Struthio camelus: one gene and its partner. The protein of the gene in region 2 interacts with the protein of the main gene of each other region in a pairwise test. Links are inferred from orthologs where the notes say so. Each region holds a gene or a part of one and is shown on either strand. Other genes may lie near its edges. The genes, in order: PALS2 and LIN7A.

What was found.
Region 1: the proteins of LIN7A (region 2) and PALS2 interact in binary tests that used the Homo sapiens proteins (3 or more experiments, as listed by UniProt). The link is inferred for Struthio camelus from reciprocal best matches to the Homo sapiens genes LIN7A and PALS2.

The regions. Positions count from the first base shown.
Region 1 is NC_090943.1:37,877,305-37,894,324, reverse strand, and holds the start of PALS2 (protein PALS2), read right to left. Parts: upstream 9,004-17,020; 5' UTR 8,780-9,003; intron 1-8,779.
Region 2 is NC_090942.1:45,805,008-45,821,190, forward strand, and holds the start of LIN7A (protein lin-7 homolog A), read right to left. Parts: upstream 8,825-16,183; 5' UTR 8,539-8,824; coding exon 8,496-8,538; intron 1-8,495. UniProt on the Homo sapiens protein: Plays a role in establishing and maintaining the asymmetric distribution of channels and receptors at the plasma membrane of polarized cells.

The DNA of each region.
Region 1 (17,020 bases), on a different chromosome or scaffold from region 2:
AGCATAAGGACCAACAGTGACATAGTATACAAAGGATAAAGTCAGCCTGCAAAACTTTTATCAGAAGGCAGTAATGAATTATGGGAACATAATATTTTTAAAACATGCTTTGGAAACCAAGGATCTTTGTTATACTATGTATTTCTTTCCCTAAACTCACCAGGAATACTATTGCTTAAATAAAGGTCATAGACATGGCATCATTCAGCATATTAAAATATTTTAGTGGACTCCCCAAAAGCCTCTGGCCTTTTAAAATAAGGCAAAATACTAATTGCAGTACTTTGAACACTAAACAACATCATTTTAAATGACTGACTCTTTCAAGACTATTTAATCCCAAGCTAGCTTTAACCACAAATGTATTCAGCTGCACCTAGATAGCTCGCTCATTTAGGCTGATCTTTTGGATACATATGAAAAAGTTCTGTACAAAGAGAATCATTACATTGTTAATGGAAGTTCAAGAAAATTAGAATTAAAACATTGATAGTCATTAGACTGATTTCCTTCAAACACTATTTGCATTCACTCTTGCAGAAGGTTGAGAAATCTAAGTTTAAAATGGCAGTATAGATTACTTACACTTCTTGAGCTCTAAAGTAATTTAACACCATCACCACTGGAGATCTATCATACTATCAAAGATTTTTTTTCCACACAATTACCTGAAGATTACACATTTCTAACTTGCTTCCGCTACTTTTTCCGCAGTCTGCAAATTATTTCAAAACAGACCATCAGATTCATATAACCCTCCATCAGCAAAACTCAGGTGTTTCTATACAGGCCAATATTAATGATTTTTATCCCTGCAAGAGAAGCTGAACTCACGTTAAGAACAAAGTTTTAGCATGGATATGGCCATGCTTTCACTAGCTAACCACAAGCAATAAAAAAAAAAAAATCCAACTTTTATATAAAAGAACTAATTTTGCTAGTAACTTCACAGATAACTCAGGCAGAAACTGCATTGGTCACAAATCCCATTTTGTCACATGAAAGCCATCAACAGTTAAGCATAAACCCACTCTGAAAGAGAGGAAATCACTGGGTTTTCTACCCAAACACATTCACTTTTCAGAAGTCTTCTTTTCCTAAGAGCCACAAAGTATGATCAACACAGTGCTCTTCATTCCCGTAACTGTAAGGGAACGGCATAGTTTCCTTCTTGTATCACCCAACATCATCACTGCAAAGGAAAAAGATTTCCCTGCTGGGCTGCTTCTCCTAATCTAGCTGCTAATTAGTCAGCCCTTCCCTTTTCCATTTCGCATTGATTAGTACCAAGCCAGTAATTCCTTCTCAAGATCCCAGCTCAGCAGTTTTACTGTTACATTTCACCGTTGCTGAACAGCTTTCCTGAACTGCAATATCATGGAATCCAACCTAAGACTGAGAACCATACGGTAAACTTGGAAGGACTTTGTTCTGCAACTGTTTAGTTAGGCTATGTATGTTTACAGAGCTATATGCCAAGATTTGGCAAATAAATCCATAAGCGTCAGTTACCTAATAACTTCCTAATAAATGTACCTAATAAATTACCTTCGACAGTAAACTTGCATGCTTCCAGTAGACAATAAAAAAAAGTTTCAGCAAATTGACTGCATTGACTTCCCCAAGCTATAGACTACTGGATGGGAAAATCATTTTTGTAACCTAGTTAAGATTTCTGAATCTATGAAATTTAGCTACAGTGGTTTCTTATTTATTTAGTTACTTACTTGTTAAGTAGCACTGACTTTGGCTTATCACTGTACACAGCTAAGTAAGCAGGCGCTTGTACAAAAATAGCTGGATACTAAGTCGCTTCATCAGCCAGAGCAACAACAATGACTTCAACGAAGATTTCTCCATTTTAGATTTCATACTGTAACCACTAGAGGGAGTATTCTAGCTAAATTTCTACTGAGAAACAAGAGGGTTCTGTTTAAAGCTTTCATACCGACACTCAGAACCTTAAAAAAAAAAAAAAAAAAGCCTTTCTACACCTTTCAGCACCTCAGAGCCTCTCCCCTTCTCACCTACACAAACATTCAGTTTCTCTCCCACTCTTAGAGCTGAGATTTCTAATAACGTCTTGATCCCTAAGACCTACATCTTCCACGCCCCTACCTAATTAGGTGTAAAAATTAGGAGAAAATACAACAGCCAACCCTCCAGTGTTTTCCTACCATTTCCTAAAGTTTCTTCTGGTGCATTCCCTGCCTGTCTTTCTGTCCTTGAGGCTGCAAAGACTTTTCTCTCTTCTACCAACGGCAACATGAAACGGACACGACCCCTGCGTGCAGCAGGGGAAAGATGAGGGTCCTCAACCTTCAGCTAGCAATTCAAGTACAGTCATTAGCTCTACGTAACCAACTAACGTTACAGAAGAGCTGTTTGAAACCCAGTAACACTGGCTATCGGTTCATCTCGCTTCCTGTAGAACAGTGATTCCAAAGCAGTGGGTCCATATTAGCAGTCTTGAGCCAAGACACCTATGGGATTATCATAGTACTAATATCAGAAAAATAAAATGGACAATTTCTCACACAATAGGTCCATGGCAAAATTAACTTTTATCTATGCAGCAACTGGACCACCCTGGAGAAAGCTATGAAACAATGAAACAAACATCACAGAACCAGCCCAAATATCACCAGCTTTTCACTTCACGGATAAGTTTGAATATCTCACACAGCACACCACACAAAGTAAGAATTTAGCCTCAGGGGTAGGATCACATATGACAAATGCCAATTACATTGAGTAACGTGCTTCTGGATGTTGCTCAAAGACTATACAGAATCTATATAGAAGAGCTACACTGATCAGAACTGACCAAAGTGCTGTTTGTCCCATTCTGCCATTGCTTACCAAATCTAGCATAAGCAGCAAAACTACATGATCTGGGGAGAGCAACTGAATATCTGCATGACTTGCATTCAGATGCCTTTCCTCCAGTCATACATTCTACAAACGTTAAGTTTCACTTAACAATTTCTCTCTGCCCAAGTGTTCTTCACCAATGAACACATACACTGAACTTGCTAATTACACCTCCTCCTCCTACAGGTCCACTGACCTGAAAAATGCAAAATAAGTTTTAAGAAGCAGTATGACTATTGTAAATTTAATATCATTCAAGTAAATCTATCCAGCAACACTGTATTTTGCTACAATGCAATAGTTGACAAAGCCGGAATTGCTTAGAAAGGCAAAAGAAACTTTTCAACCGTTTCATCCACTAGACTGCAGTTTGTCTTCTCAGTTTCACAACTTCTGCTATATAAGCAGTTTCATCTTTCCAAAGAGACTTCTGTAAACTTCAACAGTGAATTAGGAAAGGTATGGGGAGGAATTTTAATAAGAAGGTATATAAATGCTTACTTACCAATTGTCACACTGACGTATTAAAAATAAATAAATAAATAAATGTCACATAAACAGCTGTTAAGACATTTTATATGCAGAGCATACAAAAAACTCTCATATGCTCCTTACTTGCATATCTCGGAAATTTAAACTGGTAACAAATAAATGAACATAAAATTATGTAGCTAAATATATAAAGAAAGTAATAATATAGAACGGCTAGTGTATTTTTCTTTCATTCCCTTGCGGAATTTACTTCAGTGCTCCCTCACATTATATTATTAGCCCTAAGAAAAAGCTTTACTCTATTCTACTCAATTTATTTCCTTCTACATTGTATCTAGGCATTTAAAGTGATATCACTTTAACTTTTCATTAAATCACATTTGACTAGTGGGTGAGACAAAGCTTTAATTGAGATGCTAAAAACAAAGTATCTGAGTAGTCACTCTCACAAGAGAATTAATACTTGAATGGCAACACTATCTCAAAGAGGCTTAAATGGACAAAACTTAAGAAGTTAAACTACTTTTCTTACCTCTTAGCGGGCATTATTTTAACAGTATTTTAACAAAACATTTGGAATCAAAAAAGTAAAAGCTTAAGCTTGCTTGAAGTCAACAGCTATGTCTCCACCTACTGGAAAAGAGAATTTAACTGAAAAACTGGTTTAATCCTTTGAGGCTCAGATAAGCAGAAGTCATAAGAGCAATATAGTAGTGCAAGATGGGGGGGTGGGGGGGGAGGGTTTCCTTTCATTTTTTTCCAAAGTGTGTGTGGAAATCGCTGGCATTTTCTACAATCAGCATAGATATCATTCTGTCCCTATTCTCAGACAGATGCTTGTCAGAACGCAAAACCAGTCAATACCTTTAAAATAAGATATCTAAATAACTTACTGAATAACATCTGTTGTCAATAAATCTGAACAAGTCATCTAATTTCAATATTTTACTAGTTTCTACCATGCTTTCATGAAACCTGCATACTAACATTAGAATGATTTCTTTAAATAAATGATTTGCTTAAAACACATAGAATAGTTGCTAATATGAAACATTCTCAATATATAAAAATTTTTAAACTAAAAAGATGATAAATAAAAGTGTAGAACCTCCCATTTTCAAATCTGCATTTTTATTATTAAATAAAGTTTGTGAAATAACTCACCATCATTCTAAAGATGCTAAATAATACAAAATAAGAATGTAAGTATTTTGACAGGGAAAAATACCTCTCCCCACCTCCCCATCAGCAAGTCAAATGTCTCCATCATTCTTGTAAGATATTTGATCATTTTTAGACACCACCCATAAGCAAATAATTCAAGCTTGCTTTATTCTGAAAAAAGCTGTTTTTCAAACCACAGGACAGCACATTAGTATCACAATGCTTTGTTTATTCCATTACAAAAGCCAACAGTTTTGCTGTAGTGTAACCTGAGAACTACTGCAGATGGTTAGTAGTAATGACCAGGGAATCAAATAAATCCTAAACTTAAAAGTGATCTTAACTCCTCCCCACCAAACTGACACTAAACCATTATTCTAATATTTTGTTGAACTCAGATAAAAAAAGATTTTAGTCATAACTGTTCTAAACTAGCCCAAAACACCGACTGGTCCAGCTATTTGGCACCGCCTTCTCCTAGCTAGTATGCACTTAACTAAAATCTTTTATCAATGTCCCCTACTACTTAACTTGTGATAACGAACAGTCACATTAACACCCTCACGTCAATGAAAACAAAGCATTATGCTCCTCTAAAAGTATTTGTCACCTGCACATCTGTATTTTAGCGTGCCTTTCAAATGTCAGCCTGAACAAAACTCGCTTTTTCCCCCCCGGAACCCTTTAGGAACTTCTGTTGTGGCGGACACTATAACCGCTTTCCCCAGTAGACTCACTCTTTAGCCTGTGATCATATTCTGCTTCACATTTCCACACAAATAATTCCAATACTGTCTGCCCTGCTCCACCTCTATGATGTTTCTAAAAATTCAGTTTTTCCTGCCATGCACAAGGCCATACCCATTCCAGCTGTCCTCAGCACTGAGTTTATAGAACACATACTCTTTAATGCATACTGTTACTAAGGCAGGTTTCTCCCCTCAACTCAATTTATCTATTGGCTCTCCTTTCCTCATAACAAACATCAAACATGACCATCTCACTCAAGGTCAGCTAAAACAAGTAAACAAACAAACAAACAAATAGCAAAAAGCAAGCCTGAGATGTAGGCACTGTTGAGAACCCTTTTGTCTGTTCTATGGTATCCTTCTGAAGCAAATACTCTTCTTGATCTAAGCACAATCACTACCTCAGCGCTCCAAACTAAGACAAGTCAATTTTTCCCCATTTTTACTTTAAACACAGAACACAAGAGGGCATATCACTTACAACTACAGCAGAAAGCATGCATTTAAAGCAGGACACCAAGCTGTGTTAAGATTGCATTAAAAGCGTTAAGTAATTTTTACAAATAAACATATTTAGGAAAAAAAGTATGATCCAGTGATTGAGTAACTGTAGTAATAGATTCATACTGAAGGCTCTGTGGTCTGCCGTTATGGTACTATAAAGTCTTCCCCAGATCATCAACCTTTGTTCATATATGCACTTTGTAGAATACCCACCACTAGGAAGTAACATCACATTGGAACTTGGTCCTGATTGAAGAAGTTATATGTTTGAGGACAATGCTCAGATCACATCCTTAACAGCCCAGAATAAAGCCTGCCAAATTATTTGGTAGGATATTTGATTTTCCTGCTTTTACTCTGGCTAAACATCAATTAAAGATGCCAAAAGTAGCAAGTTATATCATCTAGATTTCTGCTCCTTTCTGGTTCCTGAGGTTTTCATGTACAGTAATTTAGGGAAAAAAAGTTTGACTAAAAATGTTATGCTTTTAATAAGAAGCATCTAAAAAAATGACTCTCAGAGATTCATTAGATTCATTCTCTCTGTAGCTTCCTTAAGACACTTTCATATTAGCTAAGCATGTTTTCACTTCCTTCATTATTTCTGTTTTACTTAAAAAACCATATGTGACTAAGTCATGATTTAACTTAATAGCTGCCATTATTTATTAAAAAAAAAAAAAAAACAACAACCACAAGAAGCAGTTCAAGAAAGGTCCAGTTGCACATATGCTGCAACAGCTTTTCAATCATTTTGGAGTTTTCTGGTATGCACAGTTAGTCCACTAATATAGCAGCAGAACAGATACGGCTCCAAATAGCTGCTATGGTATATTTGTCAATAACTTCCATATTAAGTAGTTCTTGACAACAGAGGCAGAAACAGCAGTGATTTGCAGGATCTGAAACAAATGCAAGCACATAGAATTCAAAGAAGCTGAACATACACACTTTCACACAGATGCTGAAGGTTCCATTAAAAAAAAAAAAAAAGTAGTGTCTCATCTAGAAAAGACGAGGAGATTGAAAGCTAACAAAGATACCAGCCTTATAATGACACCATGCCTCAGTATTGCAGATTTTTCAGAAAAATATGGATCCCAGGTAATCTATATAGTGCAATACCTAGACTCAGAGAACAAAATAAGGAGAGCAAGATCATCAATTCCAAACATTTCAAGGAAGGAAAGAGGAAATTAAAGATTTCTCTGAAGAGTCCTCTAAAAAAATCACTTAAAATTAGCTCAATCTAGCCTCCAATTACCAGCATGTTATTTAAATGAGAATTTTCTCCATGGCATTTTTGATAAGAATTTGTAACAGATGTTGCACGGTCCAGTCACATGGCAAAGTGTTAAAAGCCAACCACCACAGCAGAAATAAAAGGAAACATTATGATGCTACTGTCAACTCAACCAGTTTAACAGACACTATCTGTTCAGAAGCAGCATGCTAAGGTTTGTTCAAAGCCTCCTCTAGTCTGACGTCTATTTATAGCTGCCTAGCCTCTCTACAATTTCTCACAGCCCCTCCTCCTCCCAAAAGCCAAGTCAGGAGAAGTTTAATGGATGTAATCTCGGGCCCTGTGCGGCAAGCCGGTCAGAAGCTCTGCAGCTCTCTTCCAGCAATCCCATGTGCAATAAAACTGGGAATAAGAGGAAGAGAATGGTCTAACCCACACAGGAGCCAAATACATGGGATAAACCTTATCTCTGCTCCTTAGGAACAAACTCATTTTTCCTCTGCCAGCATGTCGATAGCGTTGAACCACATAAGCATCAGAGCCTTAGCAAAAGATACCTGCCTCCTTCCTTCTCACCACAGAGAAACAGACTAAGCCAACTGTCTTGAAAGCCAAGACAGAAGCTATCCAAGTCAGCTCTGACCCCTGGACAGCAGCAATGTCATCCACATACCTTCCCACTTACACTTTAGTGTTACTACTGTACATTGTATGTTTCTCAACTGGAGAGCGGGTGTTTGTTGGGTTTTTTTTCCAATGCAGTTTCTGGTTAAGAGTTGATATCCGCTACCCAGCCATGCACGTGTGCTCTACGGTTCCAGACATATTCAGACAGGTTCTCTTTCACCAGCATCTCCATCAACAGTTTAAACACCCTAGAAAGGGGGCATACATTTTCCTGAATACGGCGCAACAGCACCGCAGGCTGACCTCTGCCACAAGCCCACCACCTCCCTTGGTGCCTCTCCCACTGCCCTACCTCCACTTGCTTGCAGTACTGGTACAGAGCCTAAGGAGGTGATAGCACTGTTGCAAACTCCTGCCCACCCGATTACAACCACATTTTCTCCCCTTTTCCCAATCAGAGGCAGACGGAAGGGGAGGGATGACTTCCCCGGGAGGAAAATAACCAGGGAAAGGCCAGGGCAGAGATCAAGAGAGGAGGAAGCATCCCAAAGGGGGAGCAGATAATCCCCGAGAGGCGAGGCTGCGGAGGGGCACAATCGGGGAGGGAGGGAGGGAAGGCAGGCGAAGCGGGGGAAATAATCCGACAGCGAAGGGAGGGGATAATCCCCTCGGAGAAGGGGGGAGGCGGAGGATCCCGGGAGGGAGGGGCGGGAAATCTGATAATCTCCAGGAGGAGAGAAAATACCGGGAAGGGGGTGGGGGAAGGAGGGTGGGCGGGTAGATAATCCGAAGCAGCAGATGAAGAGCGAGTCTCCCGGGGACGCACCCAGAGGCGGGAGGAGGAGGGTTAATCCTCCTTCTGGGGGCAAAAATCCCTTTTCCCCGACTCGGGCGCTGCCATGTTCGGTGCCCTGCAGGCCCGCCCGGCGCCGGTACCTGTGTGCGGGCGGCTCTTCCCCCCTCACACCACACGCACACGGGGCGCCTGGGCGGCCGCCCCGCTCGCGGCCGCCCAGCAAGGGGTCTCCGCCGGCATGGCCGCAGGACGCCGCTTCCCGCCGGCGTGCGGGCAGACCCTCCTCCTCCTCCTCCCCCCCCCGCCCGCCTCTCCGCTACCGCAACTCACCGGCTGGCACCGGCTCCCGCTCCCCGTCCCCTCCTCAGCGGGCGCCGCTCAGCCCCATCTACGAACTCGGGCGCGCGAGCCGGCCGTTGGAGGACGGGGCGCGCGAGCCACCGCCGCCGCTTCCCCCGCTCCTGCCGCTCTGCGCTCGCCTCGGCGCGCGCCGCCGGGGTGGCTGTAGCACGCGTTCCCGCTCCTCCTCCGCTCCCCCAACCCCCCCCGCCCCCGGCCTCCGCGGCGCGCGCGCGCGCGGCCTCCGCGGCGATGGCGCGCAAGCACCGCCCCCACCTCCTAGAGCTAAACGGCCGGGCGCGTGAGGGGGCGCGCGCGCCTCAGCCTCGCCCCCCCCCCGCCTGCCCCGCCCCGGGCCCCGCCCCGTGTGTGTGTGTGTGTGTGTGTGTGTGTGTGTGTGTGTGTGTGTGTGTGTGTGTGTGTGTGTGTGTGTGTCCCAGAGGGGAGTGTGGTTGTGAGAGAGGAGCGTTCGTGACAGGACGGGTGACAACGCCTGTGTTTGTGAGGGAGCGTGTGAGAGCGAGCAAGTGTGTGTATGTGACAGCGTGAGGGGGCGTGTGTGTATGAGAGGGCGTGTGCCAGAGGGAGGGTGTGTGTGACTGTGAGGGAGGGGCTGTGGGGGGTGCGTGTGTGTGTGTGCGAGAGAGGGTGGGTGGGTGTGAGGGAGAGGGGGTGTGTGAGAGGGAGGGGGTGTGTGAGAGGGAGGGGGTGTGTGAGAAGGCATGTGTATTGAGAGGGGTGGGGGGGAGGATGTGTGTGTGAGAGGGGGTGTATGTGTGAGAAAGAGGAGTTGGGGGGGTGTGAGAGAGGGGAGTATGAGAGGGTGTGTGTGTGTGAGAGGGGGATGGGAGAGGGGGTGTGCGTGTGACAGGGAGTGTGAGTGAGAGGGGGTGTGGGGGTATGTGGGAGAGGGTGTGTGTGAGAGGGAGTGTGTGTGTGTGTGAGAGAGAGAGGAGTGTGAGGGAGTGTGTGTGTGTTAGGGAGTGTGTGTGTGTATTAGGGAGGGGCTGTGTGTGAGGGGGGTATGTGGGGGGTATGTGAGAGGGGTGTGTGTGAGAGGGAGTGTGTGTGTGGGAGAGAGGAGTGTGAGGGAGTGTGTGTGAGAGGGAGTGTGTGTGAGAGAGGAGTGTGAAAGGGTATGTGTGTGTGTAAGGGAGGGGGGGTGTGAGAGGGGATGGGGGCGTGTGAGAGGCGGGGTGTGAGAGCACATGTGTGTGAGACAGGGTGTGTGTGAGAGGGACTGTGGGGGGTGAGAGAGGGAGTGTATGTGTGAGGGTGGGGGTATGAAAGGAGGGGGTAAGTGAGAGAGGGTGTGTGTGTGAGAGGGAATGAGGTGGAGTGGAGGGGGGGGGGGGACTCTGTGTGTGTGAGAGACAGGGTGCATGTGTCCCTGCTGTTGTGCGGGGCACATGTACCCTCTGACTGGGTTTGATGTGACTGTTTGCCAGGGCAGGTTTTGAACTCTCCCCTGGTCAAAGTCACAAGGGGTCACACCAGCATTTCACTTTGCACTGTGTATTTAGTCACTGAGTGCGCGAAACACTGACGAAGGATAAATCAAATATTTAAAAGAGAGAACAAAAAATTGTCTCCTGCAACTAATAACATCCAAGACCACTGAGATGGAAACAATGTTGCAAAAGTGATTTTCCTGCACTTTTGATCACCGTTCACTTTTTGCATTTTATTTGTTTTGAACAGCCATAATAGACTAACAATTCCACTTTTTGCTTTTACTTGGCTTTGCAGAGGCTTTCACCTTTGGATGCTCTCGGACTTAACGAAATCTGAGTTGCAAATACTGAGTCTTGCATGCACAAGTCTCACTGGAGCTGGAGTGTCTATGTGAGAGTAAAATTTGCCCCATAAAAGAAAACATTCAATCCCAAACAATATTTCATTCCTCAGATTGTTTTCATTCACTTCTGCCTTCTTTTACTGACCTTCCAAAATTTTTAAATCCAAGCATACAGTTTGGCGGTAATGTACTTAATTATGAATACGTGATAGCCTGCTGTAACATACGGTAACCCTTAATAATAGCTTGCTGCAGTTCACGCTGGCTTTTGCTGTGCAAGCTGTTGAGGAGAAGGAAAAGCCAGAGCTATGTGGGGGTATAGTTCATTTGAACAGAAAACCCATCAGGAATTGATTTTCATTTTAGTGGGTTCAAGTTGTGCTTTCATACCAGCTAACAAATAAGGCGATTTTTATACCACCAAGGAGGTCAAAAGAAACATGCATGGTGGGCATAATTAAAGAAGCCGTGGAACAGCAGCTGGCAACTAAAAAACCTTTTTCAAATTGACCAATAAAGACATATTAAGTAAATAAGATCTTTGTGTCTTCATCTTAGGGAGCCAGCATATAAAATTCCTTTACGAATTATTATTATTTGCTTTTTGAGTTACGGTAGCTACCATGGGCTCTGCTCAGACCAAAGCCACTGTGGTGGGAGCTTCACAAGGGCATGGGAGTTTGTGTCCTCAGGTCCAAAGAGCTTACGATCCTCTTACAATCTCTCAGTTAAAAGGTGCAAATTAAACGTATTTTTGTTAATTTCCTTCACAAGCAGGTATCTTTTCCCTGTTAAACTGAAAAGAAACAGCATGTTGTTAAGGATTCTAAGCTAAGTAATGAACTATCTTCTTTTTGGTCTTCAAACCAATGAAAAAACTGACAGGCATAGAAAGCCTCACACCCCAAAAAATAACTCCAGATCATTCTCTCTTCTTTACCTCTCATTTATTTTTTGTGATGTTTTAATGGAAAACCTTTTGAACCAGGGCCACAGAATGCATAACTGTCATCTTATTCTGTATTACACAACTCAACATCTTGTTGATTTTTTCTGTTACGATCCCTGTATTTGAGGAGGCTGAAAATTATTCTATTAAGGAGAAAGGGTTGTAGCAATTTATGCTGGCACTTTTAATGATATCCTGACTTTACCTTCATGGCCAATGAAAGAAAATCATTTTACTGCAACGCTCAGAGGTTCCTTATTACAATTCAACTCAAAGCTTGAATCCAAGCCTGTGAAACACGAGAGCCCGTTTTTGGCTGTAAGAGAAATATCTAAACACAAGAATTTTGACTGCTCCACAGCTTTTTTGAATGTCTTCCATTCTGGCCTCGGCAGCTGCTATTTGGCTATTAAAGCCCTGTAGGGAATGTGTCCCAAATGCTCACACACTACTTCTTGCCCAATACTTAGTCCATTTGACCCATTAGGGTCAAGAAAGGAACATAAATGAATAGTTTTAGAACAGAATTTAGAAAATGATGTTTACCCTCTGGCAGGAATTATCATATCATTTTGGCTTTTTATTGCTTACGTTCACGTGCCGCTCATAACAACAATCCCCTACCCAACGACGGTCCTTAGGACCGTGGTAGAGCAGTCCAATCTGATAGCTTTGTATCATTCCTGCTGCGCAAAACAACTGTAAATCTCTCCATTTAGCAGGGAATTACCGTACTTTAGCCAAGCCTCACCTGTTCCCAGTTTAGGGCAGAGAAAATGGGGACCTGGCCAAGGCCGAATTATGCCCCAGCAGTTTCTGGCTAGTGGTCGTGCGCAGCCAGGCGTGAGTTAGAATAGTGCCAACGCTGAGTTGCTTTATGCCAGGGATTATCTCAGTCTCTGTCTAGCTACAGGATTCAGAGAGACTATAGAAAGTTGTGAGGTAGGTCCACCCCGGCCCTCCTGCTTTTGTGCTGATGAGGATTCACTTGAGCTAGAGTTAATGACTCTGCAGAGATCTGAACTCTGCCTTTGAAACTCTGACGATACGGATCGCGCTCAGACAAATGGTGCCTTTTACAATGAAGCGTAATGCTTCTCTCCATAAAACTGCAGAGACTAGGACTGCTAATGCCAGGATAGCTCTCTGCTGGTGCTAGTAGTAGCATGGTAGATGTCTGTCTCCGAAGTCTTTCATCTTTGGTAGGGCTCCTAGCTGATGTTGACTGGGTGAAGGAGCAGACACGCCTTGCACGTGTTATAGGAGTGAGGATGAGGTTATGCTTTCAGCTGATTGCCAGCGTACTCTGCAAGCGCAGTGTTCTGTGTACTTTAGTTTACCTGTATCTAACTTGGATATTCAGTTATGATCGCTCTTCACGTAGCTGGAATATCAGACTACTTCTCTATTTGATAGTCCCTAAAATATGTTGTCCTCATCGCATGGTAAGTTATAGACAATACAGCCTCAGCCTCTTTGCTGTGTTTGTCACAATTTGGGATCTTACGACTATAGCTTCTCTTTGTCATCAAAGCGGTGAGATTTTTTTTTATGAGGTTCTTTGTGCCAAAGGAATCAGCTAGGAGTTTTTCTTTGGTATATAATATGAATTCACATCTCTACACAAGACATAGTTCCTGATATGCCAAAAGATCCAGCAAAAAACAACAAGATCTATAAAATGCATTTCATAAGAAACTGCACAAGTTTCCAAGCTATCCCATAGGAACTCATTAGAAGATCACACAAATGATTACAAATATTGAGGGTAGAATAAAAATTGTTTCCTCTTCTGTGGGGTGGAGGGGATTTGATTGAAAACATAGTAATTAGGAGAATGTTGATTTACATGGAAAGGCAGTACGAAAAAATAAAAGGGGACTATACCTTTAGAGTTAAAAGGCTGTACATCTAAGTCCCTGTGCTGTTTTCATTACTGAGGTATGTTTGCATGCGGAATTCAACTCCAAAGGAGGAGATAATAAAGACAAATAATATGGCTTTATTTTTAAAAGGGATGGATAATTTCATGGCAGCTTACAACATTGGTAACCGGGCAAACTAAGATAATAAGGCTAATCAAATCTCATGCTTCACAGCACTAGTTCCCTGCGGGGTCAAGAAAAATCTTTCCACTATATACAACACTACACAATTAGCAAGGTCATTATTGGGGAGCAGAGGTACGGCCTTCTGAAGCAGCAAGCTTTTACCATTATCAGAGAACAGGGGCTGTACTTGGCCAGATAGAGAAAAGAGCACTGTTTTCTTACGCCCCTTCTGCTCCTCTTCCCTGTCAGGTCCATTGTTTTAGAATTACAACACTCGAGTTTGTCAAAAAAATATTTCCTTGAACATAATTTCCTAAGTATATTACTGCCTGAAAAAGTCTTCCACCTGTGACTGGTGGTCCAGCTCAAAAATAGCAGGCACTGACTGGACACAAGGACGGTATCGATTAAGAGGTTGCAGGTTGCAAATGCACATTGCCCTCTGGTTAGGTCAGTAATGTTATGGAATTTGCTTCTCACTAGTGGCTTAGGCAGAAAGACATGGTCCCAAACCAGCTGATCTTAGCTAGAAGCTGAAATGACATGTGTTTGGAATATTTCATTTTAGAAGTACTGTTCATTTTCTTTAATTGCCTGAACATATTGTTGTAGGTGTTCTGTCTGTATACTTGAATTTTATTTTCCTTCAGTGTGTGCATCAGAGAAATGATATTAGCTGCAACTGAAAATATTTTGCTATTTCTTCTGCAAAATTTATATTCTATATATGAATGTGATACTTTTTACAAGGCTTTTTTTTTCTCCTTGCAAGATAGAAAAAGCACAATAGCAGAATAGCATCTTTTGAAAAATCATATTCCAAAAAGAACTCCCTCTCTATGAGCAATACCTCAGACACAACAAGTAGGCACTTCCTTGACTCCTACCTCATATATATTTATTTTAAATGCACTAATTATTCTCAGGTGACCTATTCTTTTCCCCTGTGCACAACCTATGTCCATTCTCAACTCTCAGTCCACATACTGTTTGGAGCAAAAAAAATCCCAGCCACCACCTCACCTCCATCTTGAGATTTGAGTTAAATAAGAAGAAAATCAAGAAAACATGGGAGGAGCTTACAGGACTATCTCAAACTTTCTTCACAGGTATGAATATGCCAATTATTCTTATATAAAGAACATGCAACTCATTTCTCTCCCTAGACTACATGGCCATGAGCTGTTAGAGCACTCAACTGAAGGAAACTGAAGAAAAAATAAAATTTATATTTACTCCTCAGATTTCAGGGACAGATTTAGTAAAGTATCTACTGTCTACAAACTAAAATCCAGAATACAGAGTTAGGCACAAAGATCCATAAGGCCAAACAATGAAAACGCATCTGTTCCTGAATGGAGTAGGTGATTTAGTGACAACATAGCCAAGTAAGTCTGACGTACTCAATGCCGCCTTTGCCTCATTCTTCACTGACCGGGTCTCCCAGGCCTGTGTGCAAGGAGGAGAGCCACCAGCAGTGGGTGAGGACAAAGTCAGGGATTACTTGTGAGAACTCAACCCATACAACCCATGGGGCCGGATGGGCTGCATCTGAGGGTGCAGAGAGAGCTGGCTAATGTCCTTACAAGGCCACTCTCTATCCTCTTTGAAAAGTCATGGAGATTGGAGGAGGTCCCCAACAACTGGAAAAGGCAAATTTTGCACTCAGCTGCAGAGCAAGCCAAAAGGATGATCCAGGAAACTACCAGCTGGATAGTCTCAATTAAGTTCCTGAGAAAATCATGGAGCAAGTCCTTTTGGAATACATTTCTGAGCACATGAAGGAAAAGATGACCGGAAACAGTTAGCATGGATTTACCAAGGGTAAATCAAGCCTGACCAGCTTGATTGCCTTTTATGATAAAATGACTGAATTTATGAAGGAGGAGACAGCAGTAGTTGTTAAGACTTCGGCAAGGCTTGAAATATTTAAGTCTTTAGCAAGGTTTTTGACACTGTCTCCCACTACATTCTTGTATCAAGGTTCAGACAGTTTGGAGGGATGGAAAAGTAGATGGGTAAACAGCTGGTTGGGTGATCAAGGGTTCAGAGGTTCAGAGTTAATGGGCCCTACTGTACCTGGAGGCCAGTAACAAGTGGAGTACCACAGGGGTCTGTCCTGGAGCCTGTCCTGTTTAACATCCTTGTCAATGACCTGGAGGAGGCGACAGAGTGCTGCTTGCAGATGAAACCAAGCTGGGGGGTGCAGCTGATATGCTGGAGGGCAGAGCAACCCAGACAGGCTGGAGGAATGGGCCAACAGGAGCCACAAGAAATTCATCATGGAAAAATGCAGAGACTTGCACCTGGGGTGGATTAGGTGCTTGCACCAATCCAGGCTGGAGATTGCCTGGCTGCAGAGCAGATCTGTGAAAAAGCCCCTGGAGATGTCTGTATACAGCAAGCTGAACATGAACTAGGAATGTCCTCTGGCAGCAAAGAAGGTCAACAGCATCTGGGGCTGCATTAAAAAGAGGAAAGCCAGTAGATTATTATTCTCCTTTACCTGGTACTCCTTAGATCACATCTAGAATTGTGCATCCAGTTTTGAGAACCCCAGTACCAGAAAGGCATTTATAAACTGGAGTGAATTCAGCAGTGGGACACCAAGATGGTCACGGGCTGGAGCACTTGTCTGGTGAAGAGAGGCTGAGCGATCTGGGCTTGTTCAGCTGGGAGAAGAGATGTCTTTGGGGGGACCTAACATCAGCCTGGCAGTGTCTTCTGGAAGGTTATCAAGGAGCTGGAGCCAGGCTTCATAGCAGGGCATTTCAGGAGGATGAGCAACAGAGGACATACATCAAAACAAGAGAATTTCAGACTGGATACAATGAAAAACGTTTTCACCATCAGGGCAGTCGAGCAATGGAAGAGGTTGCCAAGAGAAGTTGTGCAGTTTCCGTCCTTGGAGTTTTTCAAGACCCAAGTGGATAAAGCCCTGAGCAACCTGGACTCATCTCATCCCTGACCCTTCTTTGACCAGGAGATTGGACAGTGGACCTCCTGAGTCACTCTATGACTGAATTACTCTATGATTCTGACTCAATGAGTTCATGTGCAGAACACATGGAAAAGTGACTATACGGTGGGAGAAGACAGTTCTAGCATTTATGATTTATCCAGTGAAATGCTGCATCTCAAATATTACTGGGAGCGAGGACCAAAATCCAGGCTATAGTTGCTCAGCTGTGCCATAATTAATTGGATATAGTTCCATAATCCTCCTTTTTTGCTCTCCTTTTGGCCCCAGCAACCTTGCACTCTTGGCTGCACAGGGACCAGCTTCAGGAGGAAGACTTGAATGTTTTGAAGTCTTTTCTGGCCGCTAGCAAATTTCTTAGATTTTTCCCTTTCCACAGTCTCCCTCTAACAGGTTTCCACACTGAAAGAGAAGTCACAGCAAAATTCTGAAAACAAAACTTTCCAGGTCTCTT
Region 2 (16,183 bases):
TCTCAGTAACTGACTACAGTTAATTTTCCACTTTGAAACAGAATTAAAAGTAGGGCCTTTCTTCTACAAATATGAACTTTGAAGAAAACTGACTGCGGCAACTCACGAACAGAACTCTGAAAGAGAAAACCCCCTGTGAGAAATAGAGAGCTCACTGTCACCTTGCATTGCTGTTGCTCGGTGCCCTCTGTGTTGAAAGATGCTGAGAACAGGAGCAGGAGGAACAGAACTCATCCCAAACCGCAGGCCGGTTTCACAAGGTAGCTACCTAAGATATGAGATGCACGCTCACCTGGCGTATTTTGAAACGGTTTCACTGCCAGGAAGCAAAAAGCATGGAATAAATTAGTATAAATTCCACAGCCATCCCTACTCGTAACTTGCGTTATGAGATTATCAGGCTACGGAGTGAAAGAGATATACATGTAAAACAATCTCTTTTTCCACAGACTGTTTCCACAGGTGCATAGATTTTAAGGCCATCATGCCCTGAAAAAGTTTCTGTGGTCTGGCTTTGTATAACAAAGAACACAGCATACTATCCTTTATACCTGTGCTGATGCAGTTAGTGGTGTTTGACAAAAACACTTCTCCTGTATCTACGGAAAAGTGAAGAGATGACAGTAAATAAATTTCTGAAGGTTAAAAATGTTGCTGATGGTCTAATTTAGGCCATGGTCATCCAGCTAATCTGCTTCGAGCGCGTTCTTCCCCAGCACTTAACTGACTGTGAAGGGATTGACACCTTAAGATCTAGGATTTATCCTTTTTTTCAGAAAATAGAGTTAAAAATAAAGTTAAAGGGTTAGTGGACATGGAGGATTAGTATTTAAGCTTGGGTTCCCATTAAAAAGAACCAATAAAAATGAAATTTTGGTTCAGAAGAAATGAAAAAAGAACAATACTCTTCCTTATACAATAATCCATATTTATACAGGCACAATTAAAAATTAATGCTTTGATGCTCCGGTTATTTGTGCATACTTCCTTGTTCCACATTTTAAACAACCATCATTCTCTGATCTCTTCTGGAAACCAAGCTTTCTAATCAATGTTTTTTCTCTTTTCTTTAGGATTATTTGTTGAGTAAGGTAACAAACAACTCATTATGAGGAGCAGTATGCATTTCCTGGTTATTCAGCAGAACTACATTTGAGAAGTTTGGTTTTTTTTAATTAGCCTGTTTCAGATCCCAGTTCAAATATGTACCTATATCTCCTTCTGTATTTAACGTCCCTAAGATCTGAACTTGTTGTTTAAATACTCGGAAAAACAGCTTTAGCACGTCAATGTGTATTTCTGGATCAAATCTTCTGATCTGAATAGAAAATTAGCAGTGGAATGTTTCCCATTCAGAGGCTGAATCTCCAGCAAATATCTCAAAAGAAGATTAAGCAGACTTAGATTAACCTTGAAAACGCTTGGATTTATACCTACATGTACAGTTCACAGCACATTAGTAAGTTTTATTTTTAAAAAGCCAAATGTGTATGAAATTTACCATGTGAAACAAATTAACCGTGCATGAGGGAAGACAGATTTACAAATTGTCAGTTAAGTGGTTTCAAAACACTATTTGCCTTTGCTTGGGTTTCTCTTAAATCCTTAACTTCTAATTAATCATGTTTCTAATAAGTGACTAAAATCAATAGTTCTACTTAATTCATATTGCAAATCCTAGTGCGTTACTTACAAGAGCATCCCTTTGTATCTCAGTTACAAATACAAGCTTTTGGTTGTCTGTATGCTGTTTTGCACTTTGCACTTGTCATCCACGTTAAGGAGAGATGTCCATGCATGTGCTGAGAAACAGGTAACTGAAAGGACAAGTTATCCTCTGCACAAAGCGGATGGCTTCGCTAATTTGTCACATTTTTTTTATTTTCTGTCTGGTAACTTCATTAGAGGGGTCCAACTCAAGTGACAGGATGGAGTTAAGCAAATTGTTTACTTGCAATTACATTAAGAGGCTAATCCTTTCTTTTCTTTAGTTACACAAATGTCTCTCAGACATCAGTGTGAAACTGAAGTTGGTAGGATCCAGCACAGGCATGTCATTTATAAAACAAATCCTTCCCTTTTAACATTACCTGCAGATAGAAAGAGAGAGTATATATTTGCTACACACAAAAAAAGCATTCCTTATGTTTCTTAATCATTAACACTCTGATCTTGTAACTTGTCGCAAACAGTGACTAGCGCACTTGCTCAGAGTCTTGTCAAAGACTCCACCCACTCCATCAAGTTTCAGCAGTAAGTTGCTTTTGAAGAATGAGAAGCAGAATACATACACGCAAGTTCAGTGTGCCTCCTTGCTTTACACAGGATAAATTCAGATAGGCTAAAATGATTATTTCATGGCTAATGTGTCAAAAGAGTTTTTGCAGCTTGACAGACCAAGAGGAATGCAAGCTCCCTGCAGAGACATCTGTTAACCACGGGCACTGTTTGCCTAGTTTCAGCAAAGGTTTGTCTCACAGACATTTCCTTACTGCGAACAAAGTTTCTACAGAGATATACAGTATGATTGATTTTGCGCTTCTAAAGTAAATACGACTGGAAGTTTGATATGCCCCTCTATACTTCTCAAAGGTGACAATGTTAAAAAACGTCACTAGTTTTCAATACCTTTCCATGTGTTTGTGTGGTGTTAACCACGGAGGTACAGCATTATGAAGAAAGGCAGAACCAGAGGTCAATTGTGCCTGGTGCACATTGAAGATGATACAATGAACTTTCATTTCTTTTCATTTACTGTGCAGTGACTAAGCTCAATTGCCATTTCTATAACATCATGAGCTGCTTTGGGCAGGAGGACAGAGTCATCTCTATAACAGCAAAGCCAGACAAACTGATATATGTCAGCGGAAACCTTACCTAACTCAAGTGCTTCCAGCTTTTCACAGAATTACTCTTACAGTCGTACACCTCGGTACCTCTTTCAATTCAGGCTTGTACTACCAGAGATATTTAAGTTGGATATATGCATCCAACTTTTCGAATTACATATTTTTACATTACTCAAAATAATCAAAGATGACATCTAAGTAGCCATTTCCTCTTATCTAGCTACAGGGCCACAGGAGACACTACTAAACTGCATCCTTAACTAATAAGCATTTAAATTGCACAGATCTTCAAAAAACATACCCATTCATAACCCATAAATCACCAGCTCAATCCACTCACCTTAATCCAGCTCTTCATAAAAATACAATTAAAAATGAAATAAGTGTTAACACAGTGATGTAAAACAAAAAATGCTTTTCAGTCTGTCACCAGAATTGTCACTTTTTCTGTTCCTGCAGATTCAAACATAAGCCTTTTTTTTTCTTGGAAGAATGAATTTGGTTATTTATATGTATGTCATCAGTTGGCTTATCATACAGAGAAGTGTTAAATTTAAAGTGTGTGGCTCTTGCAGAAATATTTTTACTATTTTAACATGCTAGCCTGAAGAGCAATACAAGAAATCTCTATGACGGATAGATATACTTTGTAGAAAGTCATGAAAGGGAGCAGCACAACCGCTTAACACTGTTTTGAAGAGCTTAACTGCAGTGTAAAAGATATTTGGCCTTATTCTGCACCTCTGTCAAGAAGTATATTTCACACTCCATGATTCGGGTTTTCTCTTCCTGATTAGTGCTTTATATATTTTTCCCAAGACAAATATATATGGTTTAACATACGTACAGTTCAGAGCAACTTATATTCAATATAATTTCTATTATAGACACATATGGGCAAAGACAGGGGAAAGTCCCCACTTAGGTAAGCTACGAGAATATAACGACCAAAAAAATGAAATGAAGAGAAGAAAAGAAAGGAAGGAAGAGTACTTTGACAAGTAACAACGTACATTAATGGTCAGCTGTCCTCCAGTATCACATTTGATAGAGTATGTCTACCACCTCTTATAGCAGATGGTAATTCCATGCATGCTCTTATTACTATTTACCTTCACTGAACATGTTTGCTGTATAACAGATTTTCAGTAAGTTTTGGCACACCCATTCCATTGGAAAAGTATTTAGCTGAATTCAAACAGAACCAACAGAGATTAGTTATGTGTTAGCTCAACAACAAGAAGTCTTTCTGGTTTCCTAGGACTGTTTTGAAAGCAAGAGAGATTCTGTTGTCAGTGTTTTTGGTTTATTTTAATGCTCTAAGTGATCTTAACTAAAGCCATCTCACATTGTTCCCCATCTGCCTCCTGTATATCCAACAGCTCTGACCTTGTTGTGAAGTTTTATAAGCACTTCGATATCAGCACTGCATGTTCAGTCAATTCAAAGTTCTTTCCTCTTCAAGCACGTGACTGTAACTGTCAGTGGTATGATTAGTAACTAATTACAAGGAAAAAAGGAATTGGACGTGGATTATTAACAAAAGATGGTCAAGCCTCCCCTCCCCCCCACATGCTAAAAAGATATTTTCTTGCTCTTAATCCCAGCGTGGTCTTAGCACAATCTAATCTCATATCTTCAAAAATGAGAGGAACTTTTGAAAAGTGCTCTTTTATAAACTGCCACTTTATCCTGCTCCTATGCAAAGAGAAACAGGGACAGAGGTTTTCCAGCAATCTGAGCAAATAAATGGTTGGTTTTCTTTAAGAGCAGACTTCCATCTTTGGAAGGAAGAGTACAAATAAAATTTAAAGTAAGGTAAGCTTTATTAAAAACTTGCTAGATGTTTAGCACAGTAAGAAAGTTCAGATAAAGTAGAACATCTATTATGCACAGCTAGAAAGCACTTCAAAGTGCAGGACTCCACATGGGTGCCAAGGGAAGCACTAAAATTACTGCAATGAACCTCCCAATATATTTCCAAGAGCATAATGGTGTTTGCAGAAAACGCTTCCATCAGCCTGTGCTAACACACCCTTTCAGCTCTTCACATTCGCAGCAAGCTTCCTTCAGTTTCTAATTGCTCACAATGCGTATCTGGTGACACACAAGAGTTCATGGGAGGTCCTTAGAGAACCTCCAACAAGCTAAGATGGTTGGGATAGATGACAGTGCACTTGAAGAGCAGAACACTGCTGCAGTGTGTAGAAGATGCACCATTTCTGGCAGTATGAAGCTGGTAAGGTGGCAAGGGTCATGGGAAAGCAAAGGAACTGATCATTAGATGAGGAAATTAGGTTGCTGAACAGTAAAAATGAGTAAGGGTTACAGGAAAAGCAAGTAGTAATGTAGTTAACTGTGCTGAGAATTTGTGAGGAGTTGGGCAATGGGACAGAGCACATGAAGGAGGCAGGGGGTTATGGGGAGGAAAGGGGAAGGCAGGAACTGCTGTTCATGGGGTGGGTAGAAGTTTGCATGTATGAAACATGAAAGTCATCGAGAGGAAAGGAAAAGACAGTGATGCCAGGCTAGTAAATAGAACAACGGGTTCCAAGATACAGCAGTAGAAGTGATACATGAATACGAATAGCATAAATAGTTGGAAAATGCCAGTTAATTGAAAGTAAAGCTATCTATAAGAAGAAACAATGTCAATAAAGTCCTTATTAAGAAGTAAAAAAAAAAAAGTTCTGAAATTTTAAAATGCTTTTTCTTTGTCATTTTATGAATCATAGCATTGTAACTTTTTGCCTCAGTTTGGAACAAGGTAGGGTCTTCAAAAGCTCTAAAAACATCCCTGAGCTGGCCTGAAAATTCTCACATTTTGCTCTGAAGGGCATTGGGATTTACTACCGGGGTGGTACTGATTCAGGATGTAAGTTTTTTGCAATAAAGATAGTATAGGTGCACATTTTTTAGGGAAAAGACTTACGTGGCTATTGGTAGAATCACAGCATACAGGCTCTTTCCCCTCCCAAGCTCTGAAACACAGTCACCATCTACCCTAACCACCGTAAGAAAGTATCCACAAATCACTCTACTGCCTTACTTTACCCTCTTGAACAGTTGCTGATTCCTTCCCCTGCTCCCAGCAGGGCACCATACAAAGTTCAGGCAAAAGCCTTTGAGATTAAGTTTTAAGTGATTAAAACTTCCATTATTTTGTGAACTTGTTCCACATATTAAAAAGCCCTAATGGAAGTTGCACACATTTGTGCAGGTAGGTAGGCACATGATGAGAGGAATTAAGGAAATTAATTCCTGTGCTTTGGACAGAAGTAATCTTCCAGAATGTAATTGGCTTTCAAGCATTCACACATAACATGCCCTTCACCTTTAAATGGTAATTAATTTTAACATACATATTTCAAATTCCATTTATGTCAGGGTTCAGGAAAGCTCCTATTGCCCTAGCCGAACACACGATATTCGTAGTCTTATCCTGGACAAAATGTAAGAGCGTAATTCAGATTTCTGATCTATGTTTCTTTACAACGTTTTACCATTTGTATGTGACCCTTAGCAGGGAGAAATGCAGAAGAATGCTCCCTGAGACAGAGTTCAAGAGACAGCTCCCTCAGCAATGCAAGGCGATTGCTATATCCTTCCACGGAATATACCTTCTCTTCTTGCTGCATTGAACTCTCTTTGGACATGGTAAAGTGGATACACGTCGTGGTCTCCACGACTTTTCAGGGCTTTGCCTAGACCATACTAGAGCTGTGCAAACCAGAGTGATCACACACATAGCTGCATCTGCTTTAATAAAAGCAATGGAAGTCTGGGAAATCCCACGACGCAGCACCTTCCTTCTTCCATGGTCGTGAGAGAAAAGACTACAGAGGAAATTTTTGGAAAATTTAGGCTTGACCTAGTTGCTTCTGAGATGTCGGCCCACCCTCTCCGCTTGATGTAGCGGCAACATGCGATAGGTGAAATGTATCCCTCTGATAAAATGGCCTTCTGTAGGTCAGGTGCAGTATTTAAATCCACTACTTGTCTATACTTTTCTTTCGCATGTCACATCCTATGACCATGTGATACTGCATCTCCCTCATACTAATATCAGCCCTGTATGACAACCTGGGAGATTGCAACGTTGGCATCCCCACCCAAACGGTTAGGCATATCCTGGACGACAGATGTTTATATTTAAATTGGGACTAATTTGTATTTTCTGTATTGTGGCTTTGTTAAAGCTTAGTCTTAGTAATGAAAAGGAATACATAATTCTGAAATAGTAATACTTTTCTTTGAAAAGCCAGGTTTCCTAATGGATTGCCATCTGTTCAACCCTTTGCCAGGAAACAGATTTGTCCTGCTTACTGCAAACAGTATTAGGGTGAAACTGTAGATTACACAGTGGATTGCTGAGCAGTTTAATTTAAAGTGCATGCTAGCGCTTTGTTATTTCAGAAATAACAACTATAGTTGTTTCTTTTCTAGCAAAGCTTGAATTTACACAAATCCATCCAGCAAACTGTATTTAGAATACTTTATGAGGTGTTTTGCTCTTCAATTCCAATAAAGTCGCCTAAAAATCAAAATTTATCATGTTGAAACTGAGCTCATCAGGTTTCTTTTGCATAGCAAGGAGCTCTCTGTCTTATTTTGAGAGCCCTTCTTAATCTTCCAGAAAGAAGATTTTGAAAGACAAGACGTTGACCTAAATCATGCATTCAGAAGTCCAAGACTTATGCATGCTGGGAGCCTCTAAATGCAAGTTAGGAAGAAAGATGCCCCAGCAATTCAGAACGCTGTCGGGAGCTGTTTGACCTCTTTAACTCGTGCAGCCAAAGCAGCAAAACAAATGAGGATGGTAAGTTACTCTCCTCTGTAACCCAGAGAAATCTGGTAACGTTTCTGCAGAGCCTTCTTAGAGGCACACACCTACAGTCATTGAGAGGTCCAATTTGTACAGCCTGGAGGCAGAAGTTGAGTTTCAACGTAACCTCAGGAGCGCAGTACCCTCTGGCATCATCTCCATAAGGTTAGTGACAGTGTCTTAAAGCTAGGAAAACATCAAGCCTGCTCTCTATATCTGGACCAAGTACTCATCCACACAAATACCTAGACGCACTGTTTTACACAGTACCGCCGCTAACGGCGGCGGAGACAGAAACTGCCCTGGCCGCTCCCTCCCCCGCATCAACCAACCCCCCGAAACGCAGCATGTGGCACCTGGAAAGGAACATCTTTTTAGGAACGCGACAACCTGTAACTTCCAGATGCCGGGAGAGAAGGGCAGCCGCCACCGCAGCAAGGCAGGCGCCCAGGCTGCCCACACCCCGCCGCCCTGTCAGCGCCCAGGCGCCGGCAGCAGGCACGGCTCGGCTCGGGGGCAGCCCGCCCCCGCGGGATGCCGGCCCTACCCCGGCTCCTCGGGACGGGCAACCTCTTCCCCCCCCCCCGCCCCCAACCTCCGGAGAAACTTTTATTTTCTCCGTTTTTATTCCTCCCGTCCGCGAGCCGGGCTCGGCGGGGAGACGCCTTCCCTCCTCGCCACCCGCCTCGCCCGGCACGCCCGCCGCCGCCGCGCTGGGGCTCCGGGGGAAACTGTGCGGCTCTCTGCGCCGCGGATGGCCCCTCGGGCCGGCGCCCGGGCTGGCAGGGGCGGGCGGGCGCGGCGGCAGGAGCCGCGCTTACCTCGGTCCAGCGTGAGCGGCTGGACCGCTGTCAGTGTCGCCATGTCTGCGGCGGGGCTGGAGCCCGAGTGACGCGCGGCTCCGACACCGGCGTGCAGTGAGGGGAAGGGCGGGGAGAGGGGGCGGAGGAGGGGGAGGAGGGTGTCGGCGGGAGGGCGACGCGCGGCAGCAGGCGAGGCGAGGCGCTGGCTACCGGCATCGCCGGGCTAGCCGGCCGGGCCTGGCGGGAGGCCTCCCGCCTCCTTCGGGCTGGCCTCGGGGCGGAGCCGGCGGGCCGCCGGCGCGGGGGAGGCGAGGGCGCCGCAGGCCGGTTCTTAACGGCTTCGTCACGAGCCGCAGGCGGGAGGGGCGCCGCAACGGCCGGCGGCGGGAAGGCGGGCGGTCCGGGCCGGCCCCATTGGCGGAGGGGAGCGGGGGGGGAGCGGGGCTCGTTTGGGGTGGGCCGTGCCGTGCCGTGCCGCCGCCGGGGTGAGGAGCCGGCGAGGGGAAGGAGGGCGCGTTTGTGCCGGCGTCGTGGGTCTGCATGGCGGTGCTGCCGGCAGGATGGGCAGGGCCTTGGCGCCAACGGGCACCGCCGTTTTAAGTCTGCCGAGGCGTGTCCACCACCATAGTGGTGGTTTTTGACGGGCGTACTCGTCAGCCTCGTCCGCCGTCCTGCGGTGGCCAGTTTCCTGAGCGTTGAGTGCAGCTGGGCCACCCTCAGGAAATGAAAGTCCTCTGATAAGACGCGTCGACGTGCGTCTCCGTCGCGTGGGGTTGAGTCCTCGCACTGGCAGAGAGAGGTGGCCGCAGGCGCGTCGCGCTCAGCGCACGCCGATGAGTTGCGATGTGCTTGACGGAGGCTGTCGGTGAAGGTGGCGTTTCGTACAGTGAGCGCAGCGGGACTTGCTGGCAGCCGTCTGGTCGTGTGCTCCTGGCCTCCCCAGGGAGTGGCAGCGAATGTCGTCTCCTGCCTCGCTGGAAAAGGGGGTGTTTGTGAGCACGGCAGAGCGCCACAGAGTTGCTGCTGCCTTCCCCAGGGTGGACAACGGTGTACAGAAATGACTGAGTGAAGAATTAGATCCTGTTAGACCATTGCCTGGTCTGCTACCTGCATTTTTGTTTGCCCAAGAAGCATTTAAACTGGGTGGAATCGTAGTCCAAAGAGGAAGGCAGTACTCTGTTCCCCATATCCCCTGGGACCTGAGAAAACAGAGAGGACTTAAAAATACAGCAGTGGGAGGCTGCACATCAATAAAAGCTTTCTACCTGCAAGGGTATTTCAACACCGGTGTAGATAATTAGGGAAACTGGAAGTATTATCATTGGAAGTTTTAAGAACAGGTTAAAAATACATTTGGCAGTCTTAGATAAATTTAAATAATACACATGAGCCACCCACTTCTTCTGTTAGACTGAATTCAACACAAATTTCTCTGATTAATAAACAATAAACAGTTGTCCCTTTGGATAGCTTGACAAGAAAATGTTTTAATTGGTGAAAATACTAAAGTCAAAAAATCTATTTTTGGCAAGCAGTCAATTTTATAAATCAAAATTAACATAAGGATTTTTATTATGCAGATTTTATGTACTTGCCTAGCAGCTGGATTGACATAAAGTGTAACAGCTCCTCTTGAGTAGTCACATTACTGTGTATTGGATTCATAGTCCTGAACAGAGAAGAGGTACACATTTGGAGCTTTAACAGCCTAATGCGACAACTCTCAAACTGTTATGACACTTTAAAAAAGTCTATTGCAGACATAAAAGTATGTTTAAATAATATTAAAAGCAAAGTGCCAAGCTAATTAGCCAATCAGGTTGTTTTTCATACAGGACTTTATAATCCTCCAACTTGTTCTTTTAAATTGCCATATTGTGAACAGACATTTTGCAGCAAAATACAATTACGACATGAACTTTTCTATTAATAAATATGTAATGCATATGCCAAATAGATAACTTGTTAAAGCTAGATCTTTAGAAAAAGCAATGTTTGGGCCTGAGCAGGGTTTCTGTGGAAAGCGGTAAGCTCATTCTGAGTTCACCCTTTTATATCTACCGCTGGTCAGATTTCCTATGCTCTGCCACAGAGGCTAATTGGCACTTGGATGAGGGATTTGAATGGGAGTATTATCTGTGCTCAAGGAAGATGAAAAGCAGCATTTGCTGAAATTAGACATTTCCTAATCAGCATAGCTGCATAGCTAATGCCCAAGAATGTTAAAGCTGAGGAGTGCCTTAAGCTGCTGAACTGGGAAGATTTCAGAAGTTGTCCAGTAGAATTCCGTAATTGGAAAAAGGGAGAGGGAATGAACCAGAGAGCTGTGAAGTAGCTCTGGTTTCCCAGTGTCTGTTCCCAGGAGAAAAAGCAGACTTCAATACAAATTAGTAGTCAAAGAGAATTAGTATCAATCAGCCTACCTTCTTGGAAGGTGGATCTTTCTAGATGGAAACAACTGTTATGATCTTCAGTCCTCTTGCTGATTCCTTGGGCTATATTGAAGCTTTTAATTTAATATCACGTGATGTTTACTGAATGGGTGAAACTATACTGAATTAACAGAGTATCTATTATATGCACTGGAATCTGGTTTATTGGCAGATCTTCAAAATGTAGGCAGTGGTCAGGTGCCAGTGTACAAAGCTATTTCTAACAGATCGCCTGGAGATTCATTCTGGCTATTTGCTATTTTAATCAAAGATATAAAATGTGGACATAGAGGCTTTGGTAGCTGTTTTTAGATAATGCATCAGAGAAATAGTAAGGAAGATATGATATAAAAATAAATCACAATAAAAGTGGGTAAACCTTGGGACAGGTTGTCCAGAGAGGCTGTAGAATCTCCATCCTTTGAGATTTTCAGACCTGATGGGGCAAAGACATGGGCAACCTGCTCTAGCTGTGAAGTCAGCCCTGCTTTGAGCGGGAGGTCAGACTAGATGTTCTTCAAGTCCTTTCCAACATAAATTATTCTATGATCCTGTAACAAAGTGGTCAAACTACTGGTAAGAATTGCTGGAATAGCTGGACTAAATGGTTACAGTCCAAAAGTATTGTGTTTTAACGCAGCTGCAAGTGTTGAGGAATGCAATTGATACTTGTGAGATCGAAGCCTGTTTTGGGAAGGGGTGGTCTTACATAACAGTCTCAACATAAATTCTTGGTGCGCTGTTGTCAAAATGGCTAATGTGATCCTTGAATATAGGATCCTTAGGTATAGGAGTATGAAGAAGAGGAGTGACAAATAGAACTAGGGAAATGATCCTTCTTGTGTACGTAGCATTGATAAAGCAACTTGCTGGAATCCTGTGTCCAGATCTGGTGTTTGCATTTCAAAATGGCGACTAAACTTTGATGTAAGGTTTAAAGACCTGAATGCTTATCAAAGGGAAGCGTGAAAAGGAACTAAATCATTGTGTATAGGTCTATGTATAAGCAAGAGGCACAATAGTGCGGGGATTTATAGTCTTTAAATTTATAGTCTTAAGACATAAGGTGATCCCATGACTGGGAGTTTGACAAATCCAGCCTTGAGTCTGACATACTTTTCTAGCAATAAGGATAACACAAGGTCCCATTATTCACTGTTGCTTGAAATCTTAGCAAAAATTAGAGGTCTTTTAAAAAGGCTTGCTTTGATCTAACTTCTAAGGAAGAGTAGAATGGCAAAGGTATTCAGGAGGTTAGATGAGATAATGATTGTGATCTATTACTCTCATGACTTCTGTGACTGTCTGATTTCTCTCAGGAATTGGAGCTACAAGGGCCAGAGAATTATTTCTACACAGCACAGTGCAGTGGAATGTGGAAAACCCAACACACCTCTGAACACAGTAGTTGGCTACCAGAGTAATGCATCTCACTAGTCCTAAGCGTTGTACGGGCTAATTAATTCACTGGAACTAAGCTGTCACCCTGTGACTGGAATACAGTGGTAAATGCAGCTATTTTTTTCCCCTGAGACACCTCAAACAGAGCTAAATCAGAGGTGGAAGTGCTATTTCTGGTGGCTGCAGAGGTGTGCGGCAAGAAGTCACAGCATATTGGCTAGCTCAGTCTGTGTCTGGGTTACCAGCGCTGTGTTATGCCTTTTAGCTATGCTCTTTATATTAGTCTTTGGACTAAATGTTTTGTCATGACTAAATTTTACTTTGGGCAATTACCTTTGGGTTCCTACTTACATATCCCATGAGGTTTCAGTTTGCTGCAAGACTGTTCACAGCCAGGTTTACTTTGGAGAGCTTGGGGGGCAGCCACTCGCTTTCACCCTAAGTTTACAAAATAGGTGAATTTTATTTCATGATCTAATTAAATCTTGTTTATGCCCCTTTTGGTTAAATGCAATGTGTTATTTCATTGCTCTTGTATCTACTTGATGGCTCCGGGGATCACACTCTTTGTTTGGAGGATGACCAGCTGTATCAGTCGTTCCCCGTCCAACAATGGTTTTATCATGTTTGAACTTTGCATGGAACTCCAGATTATTTCAGTGCAGATTCCAGGTACAGAGAACTTTCAAGATCATATCTTAGAACTGATTCAGAGCACACATTCAGCCTTTTCTCTTTTTTTCCTGCTGACCACTAGTTTCACTTGCACCTAGTACTTCAGTGCAACTAAAAGCAGTTTCCAATAGTGTTGTAATACTGCCTATGAATTCTCAAAAGGCTCTCAGGAGCCATTGAAATTTGTTTTTTGAGTGGCATTTTGCCTCTACAGGGGAAAGAATTCTTCCTTTTTAAAATCCTTCAGTTATTTCCATGCTGTTTCCATGGCAGAACTTGCTATTTGAGACATCTAATGGTTTAGCAGCAGGTTGTTTATTGGGCAAAAAAGTGCATCAGCTTCCCATAAGAAATGTGATTTAGTGCTTTCTGAGAATTATATGCATTAGTCACATGTACAGTTCATTTTGTCCGAGGAGAGCCATGCCACCTTAAATAATATGTTAGATGAGCTGGAAAGTTCTATAGGAGTATGCCTCTGTATAGTACAGTACTTTTCCACTGTACTGCACTGTATTGTAGTACCATGCTTTCCTACAGGACCCGTTTTACATTTTGTAGGTAATGCAATTGCTATTTTCCCAAACGTTAAAACCAATTTGGCCTTTAAAAATAGTTCTTTTTTTTTCTTTTTTCTTTCCTTTTTTTCTTTTGTTGTTATTGTCGTCGTTGGTAAAGATTCAGCTCCAGTGGCCTACAGTGAGAAAAGAATTGAGCCTTGCTGAAAGATTGTCCTTAGACTCTGTTGAAATTCAGGTGGAGAGTCTACTCAGTGCTGTGGGTTTCACCTTATAGTCTATAGAACCCTATCAAATCCAGGCACCCTCTCTAAAAATAACTACTGCAAAAGCTGACTAAGAAAAGCATCCCTGTTGTCAGTAGGCTTACGTTTTCTGATTGGGGTACTGGGCTGCACTTTGGTGAACAAGGCCCACCCTTTCAGGCAAGAGAACAGTCCGAAAGCAGTTACAAATCAGACCTTTAGCCCATGATGTGTAAAACCATTCAAAATACCTGATACCTGAAACTTGGATCTGTTTCTCGTGGACGTTTTAGGAAGCGTTTACCATGACTTACTTACTTTGACTGCTTTAAGGATGTGGTCTCTACCCAAAGTTTGTCTGTACTGTTAACCTGTGAGAGGAAGTGTAAATTACTCTCTGTGGGACCACAACTCTTCATTTGGTGTGTTTACTGCCAAGTGGGGCTTTGTCTGCAAGCACCATACCTGCAGTCTTAACATACTCATAGTATATGAATACCAACAGACTGTAGCTAGTGTTTTTAATTATTCTCACAACCATTTTGCATCTAAATTGCACCTCTCATAGATAAGCATCATGAATTGTCCACCTACCTCCCATATCCAATCTATTAATATACATTTTGGATGGAATTTTTGAGTTAATGTGATTTCCTAACAAGAACCATATGAGTTAAAAAGAGACTTGTCCATGAGAATATGTTTATTGATTATTCTTGGCTGGGTTTTTTGTTGTTTGCATCAAAACATTCATATACAGAAAAAACAGAGAATGTGTGGTCACAGAATTGAAAATCTTATCTGTAGAGGATGTTAAAACAGCAGAACATATCATTTCAAATGGTTTTAGAAACCAGTGGTGAGCTCATACTGATAGTTACAAGGAAGTGCGTGGTGTGAAGTATGTTGATTTAGAGAAAAAAGTGCAAGGACAGACCACAATTCCATAAAATTGCCATGGCTAATTAATCTGGGAGTGTGAACAGGGCAACAGATATTGCTGGCTATCAGCCTTGTATTTACTGAATCTGTAAGGCCAGTGTTCATTTTCATGTGAGATAAGTGACTTTTTGGTATGCCTCTGAAAATGGGTGAGACCTTGATTTTAAGGAGTTGTTGTAATTAACTCTGATTTTAGTATATTCCTTAAGTGATTTTTTTGAGCCATGAACATTAAAATATGATTAAAAAGCCATTTTTAAGTCTAGCTTGTATTTACACATTTTAATTGGGAACGGAAGAAAAGCAAGCTGTTTGCAAAACTAATGTGTTTACATGAAGCTTCAGTATTATCTGAAATCACCGATTACATGATGAAGCCGCGTAGATAATCAGTTTTGTCAGTTTGAGGATTGAAAAAGCCAAATAAACCAACGAAGAATAAAAAAACTCACGACTTGGAGAAACAGTATTGTGACTGAGATGAAAGCAGTAATTCTGTTTTAGTCCTGCTTTGCATAAAGAATGGGAAAAGATAAATTTAATTTTAGTTGAGATAGATTATGATTGTACTGAAACTTTCCTGTTTTTTTCAGTGACACGCTCATAAAAGATGATAGTTTAAGTACTGTGGGGACGAGAATGTCATGGCCACTGATTATCACTTTGAATAACGTGATCTTCGCAGGACAAGAGAGCCAACAGGAAATACGACCAAGTTATCTTGGTCTAAGAAGCAGTTTAATGGTCGTCTCTGTATCTCCAATCAGCATCTCTTCAGGGCTCATCAGTGCAACATTGTGAACAATTAAAGCACATCTCATCACTGCAATGCGCTTAGGTGCACTTGCTAAGATATTCCGCTCCATTGCGTACCCCGGAGGCGAGACCAGCTTTAGGGCACATGTAGGTTATATAGATGTATTTTAGATGTGTACGGATGCTGATATGTCTGCATGTAGTCCCAATGTTGTGATAAACTTGTTTGTCTAAAGGTAGTTTAAAGTCTTATTTCCTATGAGCCTGGGAGTCTGCAAGACTCTTAGTCTTGCAAACAGTAAATGTCTGGGCATATACTGTCTTTACTCACATGGTAAACTTACTTGCTTCAGTGAGTTAACTAGTGCAAAAAAGTGTGTGACTCAGTTCAAAATTTAATTAAATGACATAAACAATATTTTCCTCATGGGAGGCCCTCAGGGAAACCTGAAATGTACAGATTTAAGGTCCTTGGGTGATTTTTTGGATAGCATACTTTTAATGTTCAGAGGAACATTTCCTCTTGGCACTAAATTAACAATATTCTTCAGCACATGCTGCTGTCCATCTGCTCAAAGCCCTCAGATGACACCATTCTGGTAAATTTGCTCTTCATTCACATTCAAAGCCATCAAATTTGCTTTCAAATTGACCCATATTCCGTTCCAGGCTAGAGAACAAATTCTCAATTTTTTTCCACTCTAATGGCTGCAGCATTGTCAACAGTTTATATCTAA